3 linked regions of the Canis lupus familiaris genome follow. The protein of the gene in region 1 interacts with the protein of each later gene in a pairwise test. Links are inferred from orthologs where the notes say so. Each region holds a gene or a part of one and is shown on either strand. Other genes may lie near its edges. The genes, in order: methylosome subunit pICln-like, SNRPD2 and SNRPG.

Region 1 (3,475 bases):
TAATAAAATAAAATAAAAATAAAAACCTCCTGGAGCTAATAATTGAATTCAATGAAGTCACAGGAAACAGGATACAATACAAAAACCCACTGTATTTGTTTGCAATGAAAATGTGGACTTCAAAATTTAAAATATAAAATCATTTATAATCACTTAGAAATATGAAATACTCAAGTATAAATCTAACAAAACATGTAGAAAACTTATAAATCAATAACAACATGCTAGCAATCATAAAAAAAAAAAGGACAGGACTGGAGGCATTGTGCTGATTTCAAACTATCATACAAAAGCTATATAGTAATCAAAACAATATGGTATTGGCATAAAAACAGACACATAAGTTAACAGAATAGAACAGAGAACTCAGAAATAAACCCATGCATATATGGCCAATTAATTTATGACAAAGGACCCAAGAACTTTCAATGAGGAAAGGACAGTCTCTTCAATAAATGGCATTGGAAAAATTAGACAGCCAGTGCAGAAAAATGAAACTGGGGACCACTAGCTTATATCATACACAAAAATCAACTCAGAATGGATTAAAGACTTGAACCTAAGACCTTAAGCCAAAAAATCCAAGAAAACATAGGCAGTAAGCTCCCTGACAGTCTTGGTGATGCTTTTTTGGATTTAATACCAAAAGCAAAGGCAACAGAAGCAGACAAACAAATGGGACGACATCCAACTAAAAAGCTTCTGCACAGCAAAGGAAACTACCAACTAAATGAAAAGGCAACCTACTGAAGGGTAGAATATATTTGTAAATCATATATCTGATAAGGGGCAATATCCAAAATATATAAGGAACCCATACAATTCAATAGCAAAAATAAATAAATACTTATTTAAAAACGGGCAGAGGGGGATCCCTGGGTGGCGCAGCGGTTTAGCGCCTGCCTTTGGCCCAGGGCGCGATCCTGGAAACCTGGGATCGAATCCCACGTCGGGCTCCCGGTGCATGGAGCCTGCTTCTCCCTCTGCCTATGTCTCTGCCTCTCTCTCTCTCTCTCTCTCTCTCTCCCCCATCCTCTCTCTCTGTGTGACTATCATAAATAAATAAAAATTTAAAAAAATAAAAAAAATAAAAAAATAAAAAAATAAAAACGGGCAGAGGGATGCCTGGGTGGCTCAGCAGTTGAGTGCATCTGCCTTCGGTTCAGGGCATGATCCCAGGGTCCTGGGATTGAATCCCACATCAGGTTCCCTGCATGGAGCCTGCTTCTCCCTCTGCCTATGTCTCTGCCTCTCTCTTTCTGTGTCTCTCATGAATAGATAAATGATCTTTCAAAGAAGACATGCAGATGGCCAACAAATACATGAAAATATCCCAACATCGGGAGTCGCCGTGCGGCAGCTCCCTCCTGGCCTATGTCTCCGCGCTCCCTGCCGCAATGAGCTTCCTCAAAAGTTTCCCGCTGCCCCGCTCGGCCGAGGGGCTTCGGCAGCAGCAGCCCAAGACCGAGGCTGTGCTGAAGGGCAAGGGCCTCGGCACCGGCACGCTCTACATCGCGGAGAGGTTTTGAGTCTCCGGCCCCTGAGTGAGAATCATCAATGTGCCTGTCTCTTCTGTGAAAAGGTGTGGGAGGTGTTGCTCTTGGCAAGATATCCACCTGTCTTGGTTAGATGGCTCTGGATTAGGATTCTCACTGGAATACCCCACCATTAGCTTGCATGCGATGTCCAGGGACCTAAATGCCTATCCACAGAGCATTTGTATGTTATGGTGAATGCTAAATTTGGAGAAGAATCAAAAGAATCTGTTGCTGAAGAAGAAGACAGTGATGATGATGTTGAACCTATTGCTGAATTTAGATTTGTGCCTAGTGATAAATCAGCATTGGAGGCAATGTTCACTGCAATGTGTGAATGCCAGGCTTTGCATCCTGATCCTGAGGATGAAGATTCAGATGATTACGATGGAGAAGAATATGATGTGGAAGCACATGAACAAGGGCAGGGGGACATCCCTACATTTTATACCTATGAAGAAGGATTATCCCATTTAACAGCAGAAGGCCAAGCCACCTTGGAGAGATTAGAAGGAATGCTTTCTCAGTCTGTGAGCAGCCAATATAACATGGTTGGAGTCCGGACAGAAGATTCAATCAGAGATTATGAAGATGGGATGGAGGTAGACACTACACCAACAGTTGCTGGACAGTTTGAGGATGCAGATGTTGATCACTGAAGATGATTTATGCTGCTGTGGGATTCTGCTCATAACTAGGAAAGAACTAAAGAACTTGGTGCCTCTTCTACTGTGGAGTGGGTGTTGATGAAAGTCTTTTTCCTTCTCCAAAATTTACCTGAACCAGTTCTTTTTTTGAGACAGACTATATACTGAGACAAAAAGTTGTCACCAGCAGAAGAAACTATGACCTTTATTAACAAAGGTGAATTAACTTAACCAAGAGGGTATTTGTAGTTTATCATCTACCCAAAACTTTTGTGTATAGGTATCCTCTGAGTAGGCCTATAGTTCCTGCTTTCACTATATGCATCTTCTGTAACCTGGCAGGCCTATGTGGTGAGAATGCGCAGGTACTTGAAGACATAGGTAGACTGGATGGGAAGGAAGGAGGCTGAATCTAAGATATATCCTTTAGAGCCTAAGGATTCCCTTACCCCTTAAAAAGAAAGACAAAGAGATCTCAGAGAAATCCTGGCCACTGCTTGTTCTTCACAGGGATTAAGGTCTTTTTACTAATTTGGGATCCAGGTTAATTCATTTAGGCATCTTTAGAGAGCCTCTTGGGAAATATCCTAGCCACATGAAATACCACTAATATGGATGCTTCTGATTAGCTTTTACTTCTTTCACCATGTTTCACCAGTCTGTTTTGTTATAACCTCTTAGGTTATAGCCTTTAATTTCTAACCTCTTAGGTCAGTTTCCATAACAAATGAAATTGGGACGAAGTCCTCACAGTACTTCAATGATAATTGTTTTGTCTTTGTAATAGTTTAACAAATAAGTCTAGGTTTTCTATTAAAAAGAAAAAAGAAAAAAGAAAATATCCCAACATCACTAATTTAGGGGCACCTGGCTGGCTTAGTCTGTAGAGCATGTGATTCTCGATCTCAGGGTTGAGTTTAAGCCCCACACTGGGCATGGAGCCCACTGGAAAAAAAAAAAAATCACTAATCTAATCATTGGAGAAATGCAAAATAAAACCAGAGTGAGACATCACCCCACACCTGTTAGAATGGCTAGTATCAAAAAGACAAGAAATAACAAGTGTTGGTGAGGATGTGAAGAAAAGGGAACACTTGTGCACTGTTGGTCGAACAGAAACTGGTACAGCTGCCGTGGAAAACAGTATGAAGTTTCCTAAAAAAATTAAATCTAGAACTATCATATCATCCAGCAATGCCACTTCTGAGTATTTATTCAAAGTGGAATAAAGCAGTAACAAAGAAAAAAAAAAAACAGTAACAAAGAAATATATGCACCCCCATGTTAATTGCC
Region 2 (4,226 bases), on another chromosome or scaffold:
ACCAGGTCCAGCCCACCTCAATCCTGATGGGGAAATCGAGGCCGAGAGAGAGGAAGGGACTCTTCCAAATAGCTGACTTTCAGATTGGAACCCAGAATTCCCAGTGTTACTACTGCAGACTCTCCCTCTTAGGTAGAACCACCTATTACAGAACAAGCCCAAAGCCTCAGTTCGTTAGCAACGGGCATGCGCTCTATCGACGGAGACCGCAGCACCTGCAGCTTGGGCCAGACGACACAGCCACGTCAACCTGAGACCTCAGGGAAGGGGAGGCGGGGAATGAGGGCTCCCGCGGTGCCCGTGCCCCTGCCGGGCCTCACCCGCAGCTCCCGGCCCCGCGGCAGCTCCTCAGTCTGGTGGTGCCAGCCGCTCCAGATGGTGTAGGTCGCCGAAGCCAGGGCCAGGGCCAGCAGAAGCAGAGGCAAGAAGTGCGCCCGCGGGAGCAGGCGGCGCTTGGGCGGGGAGGGCGGCTCCAAGAGGCCACGTTCCCCGAGCCGTAGCCGGGACCGCCCGCGGCCCCCGGAAGGCATGGCAGCTTCGCCCCGAAACCGGTCCCGGACCGCGGATAGTTTAGGCCCAGCCAAATCCCACCCCATGGAATCACCGAACCAATAAACACGAAGAGCGGCTGCACCATCCCACCCACCCTCGGTCAGTGAAACCAATGGCGACCCTCACTCTGAGAACACGCCTTCCTGTCTCCCTGGGGCTTTGGGGTTGGTTCCCCTGAGGGTTGCACAACCCAAAAGGGTAGTGCGAAAGGGAGAGGCTCCGCCTCAACGGAGGAACGGAAGCCAATGAGCAATGTTTGATCCTGAAAAACGTTGGACCAAGGAGCAGGTCTCCGCCCCTCCCGTAGGAAGGCAAAGGATTGGTTACTCGAAGTCGGAAAGATCAATAGACACGTAAACGAACCGACACCGATGGAAAAGGGGCGGTGCCCGTCCCAGAAGCGAGGAGCCGATTGGCTACACGGAGGCCGCGCCCCCGAGGGCGGAGCCGGCGGGCTTTTGGAATGCCGTGTCCTGTCCCTTCTTCAGCTTGTGCCGCTCTACAACGAAACGATTTGAGTCGGACCCGCTTTATTCTTCTCTCCATTGTCTTCTCTCCATATGGTCCTGAAAGACCCTGAGCTACTACGCAGTGCTTCTACCCCACGTCTGCGCGGGGCCGGCGCGGATTGCCACGGCAACAGGCCTCGCCCACACCGTGCAGGTTGGGATTGCGCAGGCGCCGACGGAAGTCGGCCACAGGAAACGGAAGTCCCGCCTGTAGCCCTCTCTTCAGAGGCAGGAGCAACGCGGGGAAGACGGAGCTGATCTGCGAGCGCAGCCGCTACCACCATGTGAGGCCCGGCGGGAGTGGGGTCGAGGGCGTAGATGTGGCCGTTTGCCGGTGGTGGGCGAGGCGGGATCGGAGGCAGAGGTTTTAGGGGTAAAGTACGCACCGTTCTGACGAGTTTGAGGATGGGCATGGGGCCTTTTACGGGTCCTGAGTTCGAGGGAAGGCACTTGATCAGTTAATGAGCCGGGATTTCCCCGATAATGAGTCTCGCTGAAATGGATTTTAAGGGGAAGCAAAGAACCTGGGAAACGGGAGTGCGGAGTTTTAGAAATAACGGTTTGAGGTACGGGACTTACCCGGACAATTTGAGCTGGAGAAGTTCACCTCATTCGCGACTTTTTCGGCTCACGAATCGCCTTAATGATTTTCCTGATTTGGTATTCATTCAGCAATTATTTATTGAGCACTCATGTATTAGGCACTGCTTTAACTACGTGAGATACATCAGTGACTGCGACCCCCATCCCGCAAGAAAAATGCCCTGCTGCAGCTTATGGGTGTGGGAAAAGGCAGACAATGAACACACCGGTGATAAAAATGTAAAGTGTATGGCGTGTGTTAGGTGATCAGAGCTAAGTGAGTAAAGAAGCAAAAGAGCAGGATCCAAACAATGGGGAGTACTAGTTTTGAGAGAAAGTAACTCAATAACCAGTGCAGGACACATTGAGAAGGCAGCAGTTGAGCAGAGACCTGAAGAACCTGAGAACCACAAAGATACCTGGGGAGGTATCCAGGCAGAGGGAAAACGAAGGGAGATGCCCAAGGTGAAAGTCTGTCTAATATCTTATATATTTTTTAAAGATTTTATTTACTTGTGAGAGACACAGAGAAGCAGTATCCCCACAGGGAGCCCGATGTGGGACTCGATCCCAGCATCCCTGGGTCAGGATCTTTTTTTTTTTTTTTTTTTAAGATTTTATTTATTTATTCATGATAGACATAGGGGGAGAGAGAGGCAGAGACTCAGGCAGAGGGAGAAGCAGGCTCCATGCAGGGAGCCCGATGTGGGACTTGATCCCGGGACTCCAGGATCGTGCCCTGGGCCAAAGGCAGACGCTAAACCGCTGAGCCACCCAGGGATTCCCCCTGGGTCAGGATCTGAGCCGAAAGCAGATGCTCAGCCATTGAGCTACCCAGGCGCCCCTTGCCTAATATCTTAAAGGACCACCTTCAAGGCCACTGGCTGGAACAGAGAAGGATGGGAAGATGCCAGGCATTGTAAAAACTTTGGGTTTTACTTTTTACACAGAGATGGGAGCCATGGGAGGGTTTCGAAGAGTGAAATGATATGACTTAGATTTTGATACAACCTCTGGGACTGCTGTGGAGAACAGACGGTCAGCGGCATGGGCTGAGGTAGGGAGACAAGTAAGGCTCTCAGGAGAGAGATGATAGAGGTTTAGGCCATGGTAAGAAACAGATTCTGGGTATATTTTAGAGGCAGATGACAGAATTTGCTGACATTGAATGTAGGATGTGAGAGAGAAGAGTCAAGTTGATATCAGGGTTTCTGCTCAAGGAACTAGAATGATGGAGATGAGGAAGGCTGTGGAAAGAGTAGGTTTGAGTGATTGGGAGATCTGGAGCTCAACTGAGGATGTATACGGTTGGAAATGTCTATTCAGCATCCAGCTGGTGATGCCATGCAAGAGGGACTGAGCAGGGGGGTGGGTGGGTTGGGGAGACATCATGTGACCACCCACGCTCTAGCTCTGGGCCTCTCACCTACGGGTTCCATGCTTGCCCCTCAGGAGCCTCCTCAACAAACCCAAGAGTGAGATGACCCCAGAGGAGCTACAGAAGCGGGAGGAGGAAGAGTTTAACACGGGTCCGCTCTCTGTGCTCACACAGTCAGTCAAGAACAACACCCAGGTGCTTATCAACTGCCGCAACAACAAGAAGCTCCTGGGCCGTGTGAAGGCTTTCGACAGGTAAGCACCTGGGTCCTGGAAGGTGTTCTGTCTTGGAAATGCAGACACAGTTCCAGTGTGAGGAACCCAAATACAAGGTTTTCAGAGTCCTGGGGCATAAGCATATTCAGACCTCAAAGTGCAATGGTGTCTTGTTGTCCTTCCAGCTGTGCAGTACAGTAGTGATGGGCATGTACTTGGGAGCCAGGCTTCCTGGGTTTGTGTCTCGACTCTGCCTCTTAGCAGCCATGAAACCTTCAACAAGTAACTTTATCTCTTCCATTCAATGGCAGTAATTCTGGTGATTGCAGAGATTCAGTGACTTAATACATGTGATGTGTAATACAGTCATTAGAAGTACAGCATCTGGCACCAGGAAGCTCTTATTAATCAGGTTTTGCAGTTACGATATAAAGTACCATGCCCCAAAAGAAAAAAATAAAGTACCATGCCCAGTACTTTTTTTAGGCTCCAGAGACACAGCAATGACTGAAAGAGGACTCCTATACTTAAGAGAGCTTATGCCATAGGTAGGGAAACCAACAGCAAGCACACAAACAATGTGTCATAAGAATAGTAAAGGCAGGTGAGAGTGTGGAGTGCTGGGAAGGAGGTGTTGTCCTAGACGGTAACGCTAGGGGTTCCATAGGAAGAGACCGTGATGAACAGACCTAAATACAATGAAGGAGGAAGCCAGGGTCTGAGTGTTTCAGCCAGAGGGAACAGCAAGTGTTATTTCCTCTCTCGGCCTCAGTGTCCTTGTCTGCAAACTGTGCGTCATAAAAATACCCCTCATAGAACAGTTGTGAGGATTAAATATTTCTGTAGGAAGGGTACTTGGCTCAGTAGCTAACATGATAAATGCTCAATAAACATAAAACCTGCAGCCTTCAGTTAGCATTTGGGAAGTGGTATGGCGAAGTGTAAGTCTAGAATGTTTTTGCCACGAGCTGTTACATGACCATGAATAAG
Region 3 (4,224 bases), on another chromosome or scaffold:
AAGAGAGTTATTAGGTACTGGCTTTGGAAAAACCTGGCTTTTATGGAACAGAATGGGATGAAAACCTAAACTCAGTATTGCTTATTTTGCCCCCAAAATAACAGAGTCCTATTCAGACAATCACTTGGTGACAGGAAGGTCAAAGGAGAAAAAGTAGGCAACTCAAGGGTGGGCTGTGATCCCTTTAAAGCAGAAGAGGGGCAACCCCCCACCCCATTACCAAATGCCACCCTTGCCCCAGGACCTTTGCAGCAAGCCGTGTTCCTGCCCCAGCTCTAGCACCTTTTCATTTTGATAAAGACCTTACTGTCTTTTTACCAACTTAGTACTTGAAATGATGATATAGCCTGCGTTGGGTGTCTCAAGTCTGTGATCTATTTTCCTAGTGGTTCAGTTTTAAAAAATAAATAAGGTTTAGTTTTTTCCTCCACTACGGCGTCTCTCGTATGCGAGCAGTGAATCTACAACTTTCTTAGGATGCTTCTCTTTGTAATGTGTAAAATAAGTGTCTGAAGACGTCGTGAAGAGTAAAAACTCGCTGTGATTCAGACGCGGGACTGGTTCATTGTAAATGGGGGAAAACAGGACAAGCTAAGGCCCTGGGACTCGGAGTCCATTAATGTAAAAATAACCGTGGGAAGGCTAAACCATCCATTTCGGGACCGTAGCTGCTTGTAAGCAGCGAGAGGTGGGAAGTTGGGCAAATGCCACCTGTAGGATTTTGAGTGCTAGAATGAGGCTCAGTCTTTTATTCGTATTTAAATAGAGCCATTCCTGGACATTAGGGAGGAACTGAATTTTGGAGAATCATCCTCTACTCAGAATCACCGAGGCCTAAGTCTTTTTTTTTTTTTTTTTTTTTTTTAAGATTTTATTTATTAACGAGAGACACAGGCAGAAGGGAGGAGCAGAGCGCCCGATGCGGGGGCACCGCAGGCTGATCGACCTTGGCAGGACCAGAGCCCAGCCCTCCCGAGCGCGTGCGCACTGGGCACGTGCGAGGACGCTAACCCGCGCAGGTCGCAAAGCGAGGGATCCGCCAGCTGCGCCGACGACTTAGAGACCCAGCCCTTACGTCAGTTTCACCAATCAGGAAACGGAATTGAGGAGGCGACCGGAAGTCCCACCCCATGTAGCCCCATGCAGGCCAATCGCTGGCAACGCAACCGGAAACTCGCGGGCGTTCGGCAAGTCCGGGGGCGCCCTCAAAGTATCGCGGGAGGGAATGTGACCTCTGCCGGCGTTTGATTGGCGGCGGGGGCCGGTGACGTCAGGCGCCAAGCGGCGGGAGCGTGAGGGAGCCGTGTGGAGGCCTCTGCGAGCTCGCCGAGTCGGCGCCATGAGCAAGGCTCACCCTCCCGAGCTGAAAAAGTGAGTACGCGGGAGGGCCGCGTGCGGGTGGCGGCGTCCGTGCGCCGGGGCCCCGCTCGGGGGGCGGCAGAGCGGCTCCGCGGGGCGCGAGGACGGGGCGGGGCGGCGGTTTCCTTGAGCTCTGTTCTCGGAATCTCCCTCCGGGGCGCCCGGGGGCCCAGCGGGGTTAGCGCCGCCCGCGGCCCAGGGCGTGACCCGGGGTCACGGGTTCGAGGCCCGCGTCGGGCTCCCTGCGTGGAGCCTGCTCCTCCCTCCGCCCGGGTCTCTGCGCCTCTCTCTCTCTCTCTGTGTCTCTCTGTCTCTCTCTCTCTCTCTGGGTCTCTCATGAATAGATGAAAATTTAAAAAAAATAAATTTTTTTTTGATCTTGTGCAGAAGTTAAGACTTGGATGTCACGTGATCTGTTAACAGCGCTGTGGGGGAACGTTCATTTTTTTCTTTTTTTTTAATCCAAGAAAAGTAAGTTTTTTTCTTTTTTCCTGCATCCAGTAAAAATCCCCTCAAAACCGGATGTTCCTACTTGCGTGGGCCCGGGCTCGGGGACGCTGGGCCGAGCGTGTGCAGGGCCTCCCGAGTGCCTCCGTCTCGTGTCCGCCGCGCAGTCCCAGGATTTCTGCACGTGGTAGCGCAGAACAGGAGAACGGGACCCGGGGGTCGCTTTGTGAAACAGCCGTCCGCCCTGTGCGTGGGTCACGTCCTGCCAGCCTCGTGGAGGAGTCAGACTGCAAGAAAAAGCCGTATTTAGTAATTGTGCTTTTTTTTTTTTTTTTTAAGATTTTTTTTATTATTTATTTGAGACACAGGCAGAGGGAGAAGCGGGCTCCATGCAGGGAGCCCGACGCAGGACTCGATCCCAGAACCTTGGGGTCACGACCTGAGCCAAAGGCAGCCGCACAACCGCTGAGCCCCACCCCCCCCCACCCCCGGGCTGCCCAGGAAATTGTGCATTTAGGGGCGCCTTGGTGGTCAGTCGGTTAAGGGTCCCACTCTTGGTTTCAGCCCAGATCCTGATCTGCTGGTGAGATCAGCCCCGGTGGGCTCTGGGCTCAGCGTGGAGTCGGCTTGGTGTGTCTCCTCCTTCTCTGCCCCCTCCCCACTGCTCGCCTGCTCGCTCGCACGCGCACTCTCTCTCTCTCTCTGGTTCTCGCTCTCAAGTAAATCTTTTAAAGAAAAAAAATAGTTTTACATTGAAATGCATATTTGTATCAAAGCCATTTTTTGTGCAAGAACTCCGTGTATTTTAGCTGGGTCTGTTGAAGTGTTCATCGTGAGCCCGACGTTAAGAAAAATACAACTTATTTTGGAGTTCTGTCTAAAACTCTCTTTCCTTGACGACTTGGCAAAACCTTAGAAGTATTCTCTGGGTTCTTCACGAACTGGTGAGATGCTAATTATTTTTAGCAAAAGAACCATCCTCTACTTGTAATCTTAGATTACCTTTTTCATTTCTTAACAGGTGCTTTTGTTTCTTAACAGATATTTGAGAATTTCACAGGATGAAACTGGTTTTAATAATTTCTCTCATCTCTCGATCTCATGTACTTTGAGACCATCCTCCAAAATGACCTTCAATTTTTTTTCTCTTTTATTTCTTCACAGATATTTTCTACTCTTTTATGCCCTCCTCCTGGTTTAGCTTAATTCAGTGGTTCTTAACTGTGGGGTAGGGAGCCTGTTTCTACTGGCAGGCCGCTAGTGAGTAGAAGCTAGAGATGCTGCTGAACATTGTACAACGCGCTGGACATCACTCAACAGAGTTACCTGGCCCCAGATGTTACTAGGCCGGGGTGGAGATACTGAGACCTAACCAAATTCTCCATCCCACTTCCTAAAAATCACTGCCATGGTGGTATTGCCAATGACTGGACTCTGCTTTAATAATTTATGACTATCTGAACAGTAAAGTGTAGACTTGTTGGCACGGCGTTCAGGCTCTTCCATCTGAAATGCAAGGTGCCAAATATGACACACACTAGTGTGGAGTATCCCATTCTACAGCCAAAATGAACCATTTGCATTTGCTCAAACTTTCTTACTATGTGACTTTAGAAAATCTTTCTGACCCTTGGTTCCTCATCTGTAAAATAGTGATAATAACAAGATCTCACTTAGGGCTAAATAAGTTCATATGTGTTCTATTTGCTGTCTTTTATATATATCCTATTAAATTATTTTATATATACTACAACGTATTTTGGGGTGTTTTTTTTTTAAGGTTTCATTTATTAGAGAGCATGTGAGGGGAGGAACAGAGGGAGAGGGACAAGCAGACTCTGCACTGAGCATGGAGCCCTACTTGAGGCTCCATCTCACAACCCAAGATCATGACCTAAGCCAAAACTCAGGTGCTCAAAGGAGGCGCCACCCAGGTGCCCCAGGCCTGTGTCTTAACTTACCTTTGAATTCTCTCATACATTAAAATTGCATGAAATTTCAGGGGTGCTTGAATGGCTCGGTTGGTTAGGTGTCCAACTCTTGGTGTCAGCTCAGATCATGATCTCATGGGTGGTGAGATGGAGCCCCCTGTGGGTCTCCACGCTCATCAAGGAGTCTGCTTGATAGTCTCTCTCTTTGCCCCTACCCCACTTTTGCAAGTGCTCTCTCAAATTTTTTTTAAAGATTTTTGTTTATTTATTTGAGAGAACATGAGCAGGGAGAGGGGTAGAGGGAGAAGCAGACTCCCTACTGAGCAGGGAGCCCTTTGTGAGACTCAATCCCAGGATCCTGGGATCATGACCTGAGCCAAAGGCAGACGCTTGAATCACTGAGTCATCCAGGTGCCATTGAACAAATCTTTAAAAATTGCATGAAATGTCATATTTTCTAGCCTGTAACTGGAAGGGGTAAAAACTC

Evidence for each region.
Region 2: the proteins of methylosome subunit pICln-like (region 1) and SNRPD2 interact in binary tests that used the Homo sapiens proteins (3 or more experiments, as listed by UniProt). The link is inferred for Canis lupus familiaris from reciprocal best matches to the Homo sapiens genes CLNS1A and SNRPD2.
Region 3: the proteins of methylosome subunit pICln-like (region 1) and SNRPG interact in binary tests that used the Homo sapiens proteins (3 or more experiments, as listed by UniProt). The two-hybrid records come from large-scale screens. The link is inferred for Canis lupus familiaris from reciprocal best matches to the Homo sapiens genes CLNS1A and SNRPG.

What each region holds. Positions count from the first base shown.
Region 1 is NC_049260.1:41,163,371-41,166,845, reverse strand, and holds methylosome subunit pICln-like, read left to right. Parts: upstream 1-1,397; coding exon 1,398-1,514; intron 1,515-1,672; coding exon 1,673-2,194; 3' UTR 2,195-2,941; downstream 2,942-3,475. UniProt on the Homo sapiens protein: Involved in both the assembly of spliceosomal snRNPs and the methylation of Sm proteins.
Region 2 is NC_049222.1:110,602,282-110,606,507, forward strand, and holds the start of SNRPD2 (small nuclear ribonucleoprotein Sm D2), read left to right. Parts: upstream 1-1,294; 5' UTR 1,295-1,343; coding exon 1,344-1,345; intron 1,346-3,095; coding exon 3,096-3,275; intron 3,276-4,226. Other genes in the region: QPCTL (glutaminyl-peptide cyclotransferase-like protein), read right to left, coding at 321-596. UniProt on the Homo sapiens protein: Plays a role in pre-mRNA splicing as a core component of the spliceosomal U1, U2, U4 and U5 small nuclear ribonucleoproteins (snRNPs), the building blocks of the spliceosome.
Region 3 is NC_049231.1:70,134,908-70,139,131, reverse strand, and holds the start of SNRPG (small nuclear ribonucleoprotein G), read left to right. Parts: upstream 1-1,287; 5' UTR 1,288-1,339; coding exon 1,340-1,371; intron 1,372-4,224. UniProt on the Homo sapiens protein: Plays a role in pre-mRNA splicing as a core component of the spliceosomal U1, U2, U4 and U5 small nuclear ribonucleoproteins (snRNPs), the building blocks of the spliceosome.